2 linked regions of the Callithrix jacchus genome follow. The protein of the gene in region 2 interacts with the protein of the main gene of each other region in a biochemical or structural test. Links are inferred from orthologs where the notes say so. Each region holds a gene or a part of one and is shown on either strand. Other genes may lie near its edges. The genes, in order: HDAC9 and PKD1.

Region 1 (4,514 bases), on a different chromosome or scaffold from region 2:
AACGTCGAGATTAAAAAATAAAAAATCTGTTTCCTACCCATTGACTGGTATTTAATTTAAAACTCTTAACTTCCTTCTGCACAATCTTATGTGCATCTAACCATGTCCCTTCTGTAGTAAAGATTATCAATTCATGAGCAGAGCTAGGAAAGCATCTCTCTCCCTCTGGCTGGCGGTTTATCAAAGGTCAGACAGGATTCCCACCTTACATGCATCTGTTTAATAGCTAAAATATATATGAAAACACTAGCTTTTTCCCACACAGAAAATGGCATATTCGAAGAAAATGCTGCTCTTCTTCAAATGTGCCCCATTCAAACAAAATGGATGAGAATTACAAGCAAGTTTTACAACTGACTAAATTATGTTGTTTCAGAAATAAAATATTCTTATTAGCCATTCGAAATATAAATGGTTTCCAGAAGGAACAGTAGTAATTTGATGCTTGGAGAATTAAATTTGTCCAAACTGGAACAGTGGTTTAAAAGGATAAGGAGGACTAATTATCTGTGGTAAAAGGCAAATAGATTAAACAACAAATTTTCAGTCACAATAATTTTCATAATAAATATCAAAAGTACCAAAGAGAAGTTCAAAAGATATCCTGTAAATATGATTTCTAATTTATTAAATGCAAATTACTCTGTGCTTTGTTAATTACAGGATTACAAAGATTTCTGGGCCATCAGAAAAAAACATCCAGGCCTTTTCAAATGTCAAAAGGTTTTCTTTTGGAAGATTTAAAATTTTTTTTCATTTAATATGGGTTCTGTATGTACGTACTCCCTTTTTCCAGATTTCAATAATGCCTGCGAGATTTGAAAACATGACAGTGCCCTGAATGCTTGTAATTCCTAAATCTTACTCCTTATGCGAAATCTCAGCACAGCAAGAGTATTTAGTTGTATATGCATTGTTATACCATTTGCGGAGAAAAAAATTAACTCTTTGCTTTCTTTTCTTGTAGAAGTTACTTTTTAAGCCTTTCTTACTCCTTTCCCATATTTTACACACACACACACACACACACACACACCACGTATAGGTAATAATGAATATATGTAGCTATCTCATTTCTTACAGGATTTCAAAATGCCATAGTTAATCTTAAAGCTGAAAGTTCCTTTTAGCAGATTACACACACCTCCCTGGAAGAAAAAACAATTGGTAGATCTTCCTGAAATTAGAGCATAGGAGACTCACTAGAGAATTCTCCTAGTCCAAATCACAGGAACTGCATCCTCAGCTCTCCGTCGCAGGCCACCTTTCCTGACAACTGTGCCTCGGATATGGAGAGAGCTCAGTCCCTCTCTGTCACATCACAGACACACAGGCCTGACACCAGCACCTCTCACTGCGGACAAGTGGGTGACGGCTTCAAAGCCAAACAAATGCAGCCTGCTAGGCGCTCAGGGAACGCCCCCGTCCTCCGATCTCTCTAGTCCCCACTATGACACCCTCGTATGGCATCTAATTTACCAGTTTACCTTAATAAGCTTACGATTCATCACTCTGCTTCCACTAGCCAAGGAACTGCTTTATCTCCCATCCCCCAGACTCCTGAACTTTTCTTAAAACCCAGTATTCTGATGTATTGACTTAAAACTGAAGTCCCCCACGAAACATCAAAGGTACCCCCAATAAGCGTTGCTCCCCTCAAGCAACACGTTGCCAGTACAAACTTTTCATTCATAGCTCGGCTCCAACATAAACTGGGTGTGTTTGAGGGCGGGAGAGAATCACGCCACCGACCCCTCGCCTCAGTTTGCCTAGACAAATGTCGAGGTCTGCACCACAGAGATCACCTAGCACCCAACTTCTGACAAAGGTTCCCTTAAACGCACCGGTCTCTGGGCTGAGAGATACAAGGCAAGTGGCATCCGAGTCCGGACTGAGATGCTGTTAACCTGGGGAACCTGAGCAGGGAATACCGCGGCGCATCCTGAGGACCGGTGGCCCCCAATCCCAGAGCTTTCCTCAAGCACTAGCCGGGGACTCTGCCGTGGTGCCACTCACCTCCGCCCGTTCCTGCTGAGGCAGTCGCGCCCTCCTTCGCTCCCCGCCGGCGACCTCCTAACTTCTCCCCCTTCTCCAAACAGCCATCTTTCGAGGAGCAGAAGAGAATGGCGAGGCAGGAACCAAAAGGGGGATGAAAGTTGACTCGGGGACCACCGCTGCTCCTCCAGCCGAGATTTAGCGGCCGCAGCGGGCTCTAGAGGAGGAGACCGCGGCGAGAGCGGCGGGCGCGGCTGGGCCGGCTCAGTGCGCGCTGCGCTGTGTGCGGGACGCGCCGCCGCCGCCGCCGCCGCCACGCGGGGGGAGCTCGGGAGGGCGGCAGCGGGCGGCTGGGAGCTGCGAGCTGAGCGGGTGGCGGCGCGCGGAGGATTTGCTAAAAATAGCACTTCTTAGGGAGGGAAGTGGAGGACGGAGGTGGGAGGAGAGGCTCGGCCGGGAGCCCCAGCGCGGCGGAGGCTGGGCGGGTCTGGGTGGGGAAAGGAAGAAGGATCCGCTGCGAGAGCGCGGCCGCAGGCGCTAGATACTCACAGGGCGGGGAGGCGCGGGCCTGAGGGGATGAGGGGCGCGGGAACACCTGGGCGCGCAGCCGACGCACGGGAGGCAGGAGGGCAGCAAGGGCGGCCCAGAGTGGAGCGGAGGTGAGCTCGGGGCTGCGACAGCGGTTTTTTTATCCAGGGGAAGGCCCAGGGAGCCTAAGACGACTTCTTTCTGAAGCGAGACATGCCCACACAAGGCGCGGGGTGATGGCCAGGCGGCAGCCGTGACAGAAGACGGTGCTGAGGAGAAGCCAGGCCGCCGCCTCGCCCTCCCGCGCCCCTCTTTCATCAGGAAGTCCCGGCCGCTCAGGTGCGCGCCATGCAGCGCCTGCCCGCCCCAGCTGAGCGACTTCTTTTTAAGAGGATTAGGGAGCGTTGCGGGGCGGCACCTGGAACGTCCTCACAGATGCCTGGAGCTTAAAGAATCATTCAAGGGAATTTTAAGAGAAAAAATGCTACATTTGGGGCTTTTCAACTGGGAAACGTGTGGGAATATGGTGACTGCTGATGGAAACATGACTTAGGTTTGCCGCGTTTTAAGGCTAAACAGAGAGGAGCATTCGCTCTGAAACCAACCCGGATAGAAGGCAAGCAGAGTTAGTAGGTCTGAGAATTTTGATCACGTTCTGTGGTTGGTATTTTTCCCTTGGGGATTTTTTTTTTCTGTTGTAACTTAAATCCTGACTAGTATCACTAGTAGCTGCAGATTCCTTTATAAAGCATACAACACCAAAATATTTTTAAGTGTAATCCTAAACATACTTGGCTAACGCGCTTGATCACTCGAAGAGGCTAATATTTATGGTGTCTGTAATTTGACCGTCAAACGAATTAAAGCTACTGTCTCTGCTTTTATATTTATGGTTTTTCTCTACGTCAGCTAAAACAGCTCATAGATTAATTATATGGATGGAAAGAGCAAGAGAGAACTAACCCAGTGCCCTCATTTTCAGAGGAGAGAACTGGGATCCATGGGAGTAGTGTGATTTGCCCAAGGTCTCACAGTGGCAGAGTTCGGATTAAAATTAGAATTAGGGGCTAGGCTCAGTAGTTCAAGCCTATAACCCCAGTACTTTGGGAAGCCAAGGCTGGACGATTGCTTGAGCCCAGGAGTTCGAGACCATCCTGGGCAGCAAAGTGAAACCCCCATTTCAAACAAACAAACAAACAGAAACCTCAGGAATTAGACCACCAATTTCATAATAGCAAGGTAACTCGAGAAAAGGAGTGCTATCTTGTCTGCATTCTCAGGAAGACAAAAGTGTGTGATGGCTAGATTTATCTCTCACTTTGCTCTGATTAAGAATTCATACTGCAGGAGTGGTCAGCTAGCTTTAAATAAAAATTTAAAAAAAAAAAAAACAATAAATAATAAAAAGGCCATACTCCAAAGACTGTTGGTGCTAGAGCTTCTACTTAACTGTCCCATCTGAGGTTTCTGTTCATTAGCATGATGAATCTTAGTAATGGATTCTGATTTCATGGATGAAATTGATGGTATTGCCTTAAGTATCTTAGAGATATTTCTGATTTGTGTATATGCCAGATACAACTACCTAGTAAGCTTTCACCCTTTACCTTTCAAAATTGAGTTAAGAAATGGTCAAGTGTACACCTTTAAGTTTTTGCAGTTTTGTTTTGTTTTTGGTTTTTGTGGGTTTTTTGTTTGTTTTGTTTTTGACAGGGTCATGCTCTGTCATCCGGGCTGGAATGCAGCTGCACCATCAGGTCTCACTCCAGCCTTGACCTGGGCTCAAGTGATCCTCTAGCCTCCCAAGTAGTAGCTGGGACTAATTTTTTTAGAGATGAGGTTTCACTATGTTGCCTAGGCTTTTATTGTTTTGTTTTAATGATTCTGTTTGCCTACTATTGACTCTAAGGGAAAAACTCTCTCTATTGTCTCTCAAGAAACCGTTCATGTAAAGTGTGGTTGAAGCACATAAAACGAAGTATCCTTGGGAT
Region 2 (4,503 bases):
TCCGGAGCGTGACCCATGCCTACTACCGGGACGCTCATGGTGAGCCCCTGGGCACCTGGGCTGGGGAGGGGGCCTGAGCACCTGAGGGTGCGGGTGATGGTGGATGTCCTCACTGCCCTGTCCCCAGCTCTGCTGCTGCTCTACGATGTCACCAACAAGGCCTCCTTCGACAACATCCAGGTCAGTGGCCTTCCTGGTGTGGTCAAAGGGCTCCAAAAGGGCCTGGCCCGACCTTCACCTCCTTCTGGTGTGGATGGTATCAGGGATCCAAAGGACCCTGCTGAGAGGCTCAGAGGGGGAATGACAAGTCTTCTGGGCTGGAAGTGGCTCAAGTGGATCTGAGTGCCTTTCCAGCTCCCTCAGTGGGGCTGTGTGTAAGGGACCTGTAAGATGGGCGCCCCTATGTAGTATATAGGGGTTATCACTTCTAAAGACAGGTATTCTGGACAGGTATGGTGGCTCACCTGAGGTCAGGAGTTCGAGACCAGCCTGGCCAACCCCATGTCTATTAAAAATACAAAAATCAGCTGAGTGTGGTGCTGTGCACCTGTAATCCCAGCCACTCAGGAGGCTGACGCAGGAGAATCCCTTGTTCCTGGGAGGCAGAGGTTACGGTGAGCCGAGATTGCGCCAGGGCACTCCAGCCTCGACGACAAAAACTGTTTCAAAAAAAAAGATAAAATGAAGACAGGTGCCCTCTACAGTATAGTCTGGAGGGCCAGGGTTCTGGGGCAGGAGGCGAGCCATGCAGGGAGCCCCAGCCCGGTCTGCTGCCCCCCACAGGCCTGGCTGACCGAGATCCACGAGTACGCCCAGCACGACGTGGCACTCATGCTGCTGGGCAACAAGGTGGGAGGCCGGGCCATCCTCGACTGGGCCGCAGGGCAGGTGAGGGGGCAGGGGCCAACCATGGGCCAGCTGTTACAAAGACCCTGTGCCTGGGCCAGGTCGACTCTGCCCATGAGCGTGTGGTGAAGAGGGAGGACGGGGAGAAGCTGGCCAAGGTGAGTCAGGGCTGGGGGTGGTAAGAGGGTGCTCCTGGAGGCTGCGGAGCCTAGGCTGTCCCCGCCAGGCCACCACCTGGCTGGCAACAGCTGTTTACAGGAGTATGGGCTGCCCTTCATGGAGACCAGCGCCAAGACGGGCCTCAACGTGGACCTGGCCTTCACAGCCATAGCAAAGTAAGTCCCGGTAGTTACCAGGACTCCCCCAGCCCAGGGCCTGAACCCTCTTATTGGAGTTCAGGCCATCGTGTCCTCTTGTCACCCCCGTTCTGCAGGGAGTTGAAGCAGCGCTCCATGAAGGCTCCCAGCGAGCCACGCTTCCGGCTGCACGATTATGTTAACAGGAAAGGTCGCAGGGCTTCCTGCTGCCACCCCTGAACCTGGCTGAGCTCAGTCCTCTGGAGGAAGCCGCCCAGCCTCCAGAAAGCTGCAGAGGGTCTCCAGGCCCTTCTGACTTTGTTGCCCTGTGGCCAATGCCAGAGTGTGTTTCCAGGAGCCCCAGGTCAAGCCTTGCCCCTTCCTCCTCCCAGCAGCAAGCAGTCCCAACAAGTGGGCTTCTGAGAGCCCATGGCCCGGGCACTAGCCACCATGGAAAAGCGGTCTTCTGTAACAGAGGGTGTGCGCCAAGTGGATAGACCTTGCCATGGTGCTCTGCTGCCCCCTCCTGGGCATGCCCGGGTGAGGCACAGTGCCTAACCCCCTAGAAAAAAAGCCATGTGCTCACCCGAACGCTGCTCAGGCTGGTAAGGGAGGACGTGGCATGCCCACGCCTGGGACAGAGGGCTTCACTGCTAATCACATCTGTATGTCCTGGGAACTGCTCCCAGCCCACACTCTAGGAGGCTCTGGCTCAAAGAGCAGCCGGGTCTTCCTCAGTGACCTCGGAGGATGCCTTGTGATAAAATGTGGGAAATCACATAAACGCCAGAAAAGGGTAACTGCTAGCACGGCCTGGCCACAGCTGAGGTCTGTGATTTCCAAGCAAGCTCCACCTTACACTAAAGTTGGCCTTTTAACTGCAAGCCTTTGTTTTCAGTCCTAGTGAATAAAGTTGTGTTTTCTGGAGTGTCTGTCTCACCTGTTCTGCAATCCCAGCACTTTGGGAGGCTGAGGTGGGTGGATCACCTGAGGTCGGGAAATTGAGACCAGCCTAACACGGAGAAACCCAGTCTCTATGAAAAACACAAAATTAACCGGTTGTGATGTCTGTAATCCCAATTACTTGGGAGGCTGAGGCAGGAGAAATCACCTGAACCTGGGAGGCGGAGGTCGCACCACCGCACTCCAGCCTGGGCAACAAGAGCGGAACTCCTCTCAAAAAAAATAATAACAGGCAGAAACGGAGAAGTCAATCCCAAGAGTTGTGAAGTCACTGGTAACATGACTCCCGTTTTCACGTCTCTACACTTTCCCAAGATTGCCTGTGGATGAGCCAGACCCCCGGGGTGCAATAGGGAATGAAAGACGTTGGAGAGAACCGAATCAACTCACTGCCTTTGTTTTATTGCTAAGCACCTCGAATAGACACAGCGCCCACCTTACCACTAGGCCCTCCAGACTGAGGTTTACTTAGGTTCAAAATTTGCAGCCGGCTCACGATGAAACCTGAAAGTAAGACAGCGCCAAAATGTAGACATGAGTCCCCACTTTCCCGTTTCCACTCCCAGCCCCTCCCCAACAGGATTGCGCACTCCCAAGCCTCAGTCTTGCAAAATAATCAGGCTGCACATGCAGTTTTCATACGAGGTGTCAGAAATCAAAGCAGTTCATCACAGGCTCGGAGAACAGGGGAACCCAAGCCTAGCCCAGTCTTACCTGCAAGGAGCTGTAGGTCTGAGATTCAGGAAGTAAGGTTTAAACGCTCAGGGACAAAGTGGAGCGTAGGCCAGGGCTGGATGCCCGGGGACCGGGCCGGCCTGCAGCGTTCGGCCCTCCCGCAAAGATACGTTCGTAGCCCAGTTCTTCCCCGGTTAGTAGCACATGGCACAATCTAACATTAACACAACGCCTCGCGGTCTACCCCAAAAGAACGGACGCACCGCAGGCTGAAGCTTTTATAGAAACTGTCCTACCTCTGTCATTGGGCAATTCCCGGCGGAAGTGCCCGCCTTTTATTGCCGCTGATACGCTCCACGTCCTAACCGTGTTATTTTCACCAATCGTACCTTGGCATTTCTTTTGGAGGCGGTCTCTTGGACCCAGACCTGAAGCACCTCCCTTATGCAGAATCCGTGAAGCCTAACCGTGAGTGACGGATAAGTAGAGCCAATGAGACTTCGATCTGCAACATAGAGTGATTCTGAAGCCGCCAATCCCGCCCTGCGACGACGGGGCCGCCGGAAGTCGTAGTTTCGGAAATGCCGCGCGTGAGGCAGCTGCCCGAGCCCCGAGAGGCGGGGAACTACAAGTCCCGGCGGGCGAAGCGGCCGGGCGCTTCCGGCTCGCTTGTCCCTTTCCCGGCCGGCGGCCGAGGGGGCATCATGAAGCGGGCCGGCGGCGCTACGGCTCCCAGGTGGCCGCGGGCGGGTGAGTGTCCCCGCGACGCGCCCGGCCCGGGGCCGCGCGGTGGGGCGGAATCTGGCGCGTCGAAGTCTAGGAGAGGCGAGGTCGTGGGTCGGGCCGGGGGGGCGGGGCGGGGCTGAGACGTTCGGGGTCCGGGTCCGGGTCGCTGTCCGTCCGCCTGTCATTTGTCCGTCGCTCGCTCCGTCCTGTCCTCGCGCGTTCTTTACTCATTCCTTCTTCCTGCATTCCCCGAGCCGCCCGCGTGCCATACACTGTTCTGGGCGCTGGAAGACTGCGGAGAACATCGTCCCAGTTCTCCTGAGCTCGGTGTCTGCTGCAGGGGTCCCCAACCTCCGCACCATCGACCACGCGGCCCGGGTCTCTCTTTGCTGCGAGGGGCTGCCCTGAACATTGTAGGATGTGGAGCAGCCTGCCTAGCCCCTGCCCGCTAGATACCAGTAAACACCCCCACTTCCTCAGTTGCGATAACAAAAGTCTCCAGGCATTGGCAAATGTCTCCTGCGGGCCAACACCCCCTGTCCCTGGTCTAGACAGACAGGGTGGAGGGATTGACAACAGATAGAATCATGGGGAGCGGCGGTATATGCTGTAAAAGAAAAAGTGAGTACTGGCCAGGGGTCGGGGCGGCGCTGCCGTTAGCCAAAGCCTGATGGAGAAGCAGCCAGTCCCGGGATGTTGCAAGATGAGCATTCCAGGCAGAAGGAGCCAGATGTACAAAGGCCTAGGGTGAGAAGGGGCCTGGCGTGTCCCAGCAAGCACCGGCAAGTGGAGAGGTGAAGTCGACGGGGCCAGACCAGGTTCTATAGGGTGCCTGGCAAGTGTCGTGGAGGAAGAAGCGCTGGAGAGGCACTTCGGATCTAGGTCTGGTAAACAGCCTTCTGTGTGTGGACCAGACTTTGGAGTTTACTGGGGAAGCAGGAGAGAGGGAGGCTAGGGCATCCTTTCCTAGTCCCCGCTGAGGTCCAGCTGTCAAGGC

Evidence for each region.
Region 1: the proteins of PKD1 (region 2) and HDAC9 form a complex in vitro, tested with the Homo sapiens proteins (2 studies listed by BioGRID, with this or other methods). The link is inferred for Callithrix jacchus from reciprocal best matches to the Homo sapiens genes PKD1 and HDAC9.

What each region holds. Positions count from the first base shown.
Region 1 is NC_133512.1:40,375,212-40,379,725, forward strand, and holds the start of HDAC9 (histone deacetylase 9), read right to left. Parts: upstream 2,883-4,514; 5' UTR 2,842-2,882; coding exon 2,545-2,841; intron 2,281-2,544; exon of another isoform or gene 2,017-2,280; intron 1,367-2,016; exon of another isoform or gene 1,204-1,366; intron 1-1,203. UniProt on the Homo sapiens protein: Responsible for the deacetylation of lysine residues on the N-terminal part of the core histones (H2A, H2B, H3 and H4).
Region 2 is NC_133513.1:4,605,313-4,609,815, reverse strand, and holds the start of PKD1 (polycystin-1), read right to left. Parts: upstream 3,033-4,503; 5' UTR 2,820-3,032; intron 2,783-2,819; exon of another isoform or gene 2,700-2,782; intron 2,610-2,699; 5' UTR 2,547-2,609; intron 2,177-2,546; exon of another isoform or gene 2,083-2,176; intron 2,070-2,082; exon of another isoform or gene 1,383-2,069; coding exon of another isoform or gene 1,280-1,382; intron 1,182-1,279; coding exon of another isoform or gene 1,105-1,181; intron 1,005-1,104; coding exon of another isoform or gene 948-1,004; intron 850-947; coding exon of another isoform or gene 784-849; intron 181-783; coding exon of another isoform or gene 128-180; intron 40-127; coding exon of another isoform or gene 1-39. Other genes in the region: RAB26 (ras-related protein Rab-26), read left to right, coding at 1-39, 128-180, 784-849, 948-1,004, 1,105-1,181, 1,280-1,382. UniProt on the Homo sapiens protein: Component of a heteromeric calcium-permeable ion channel formed by PKD1 and PKD2 that is activated by interaction between PKD1 and a Wnt family member, such as WNT3A and WNT9B. Both PKD1 and PKD2 are required for channel activity.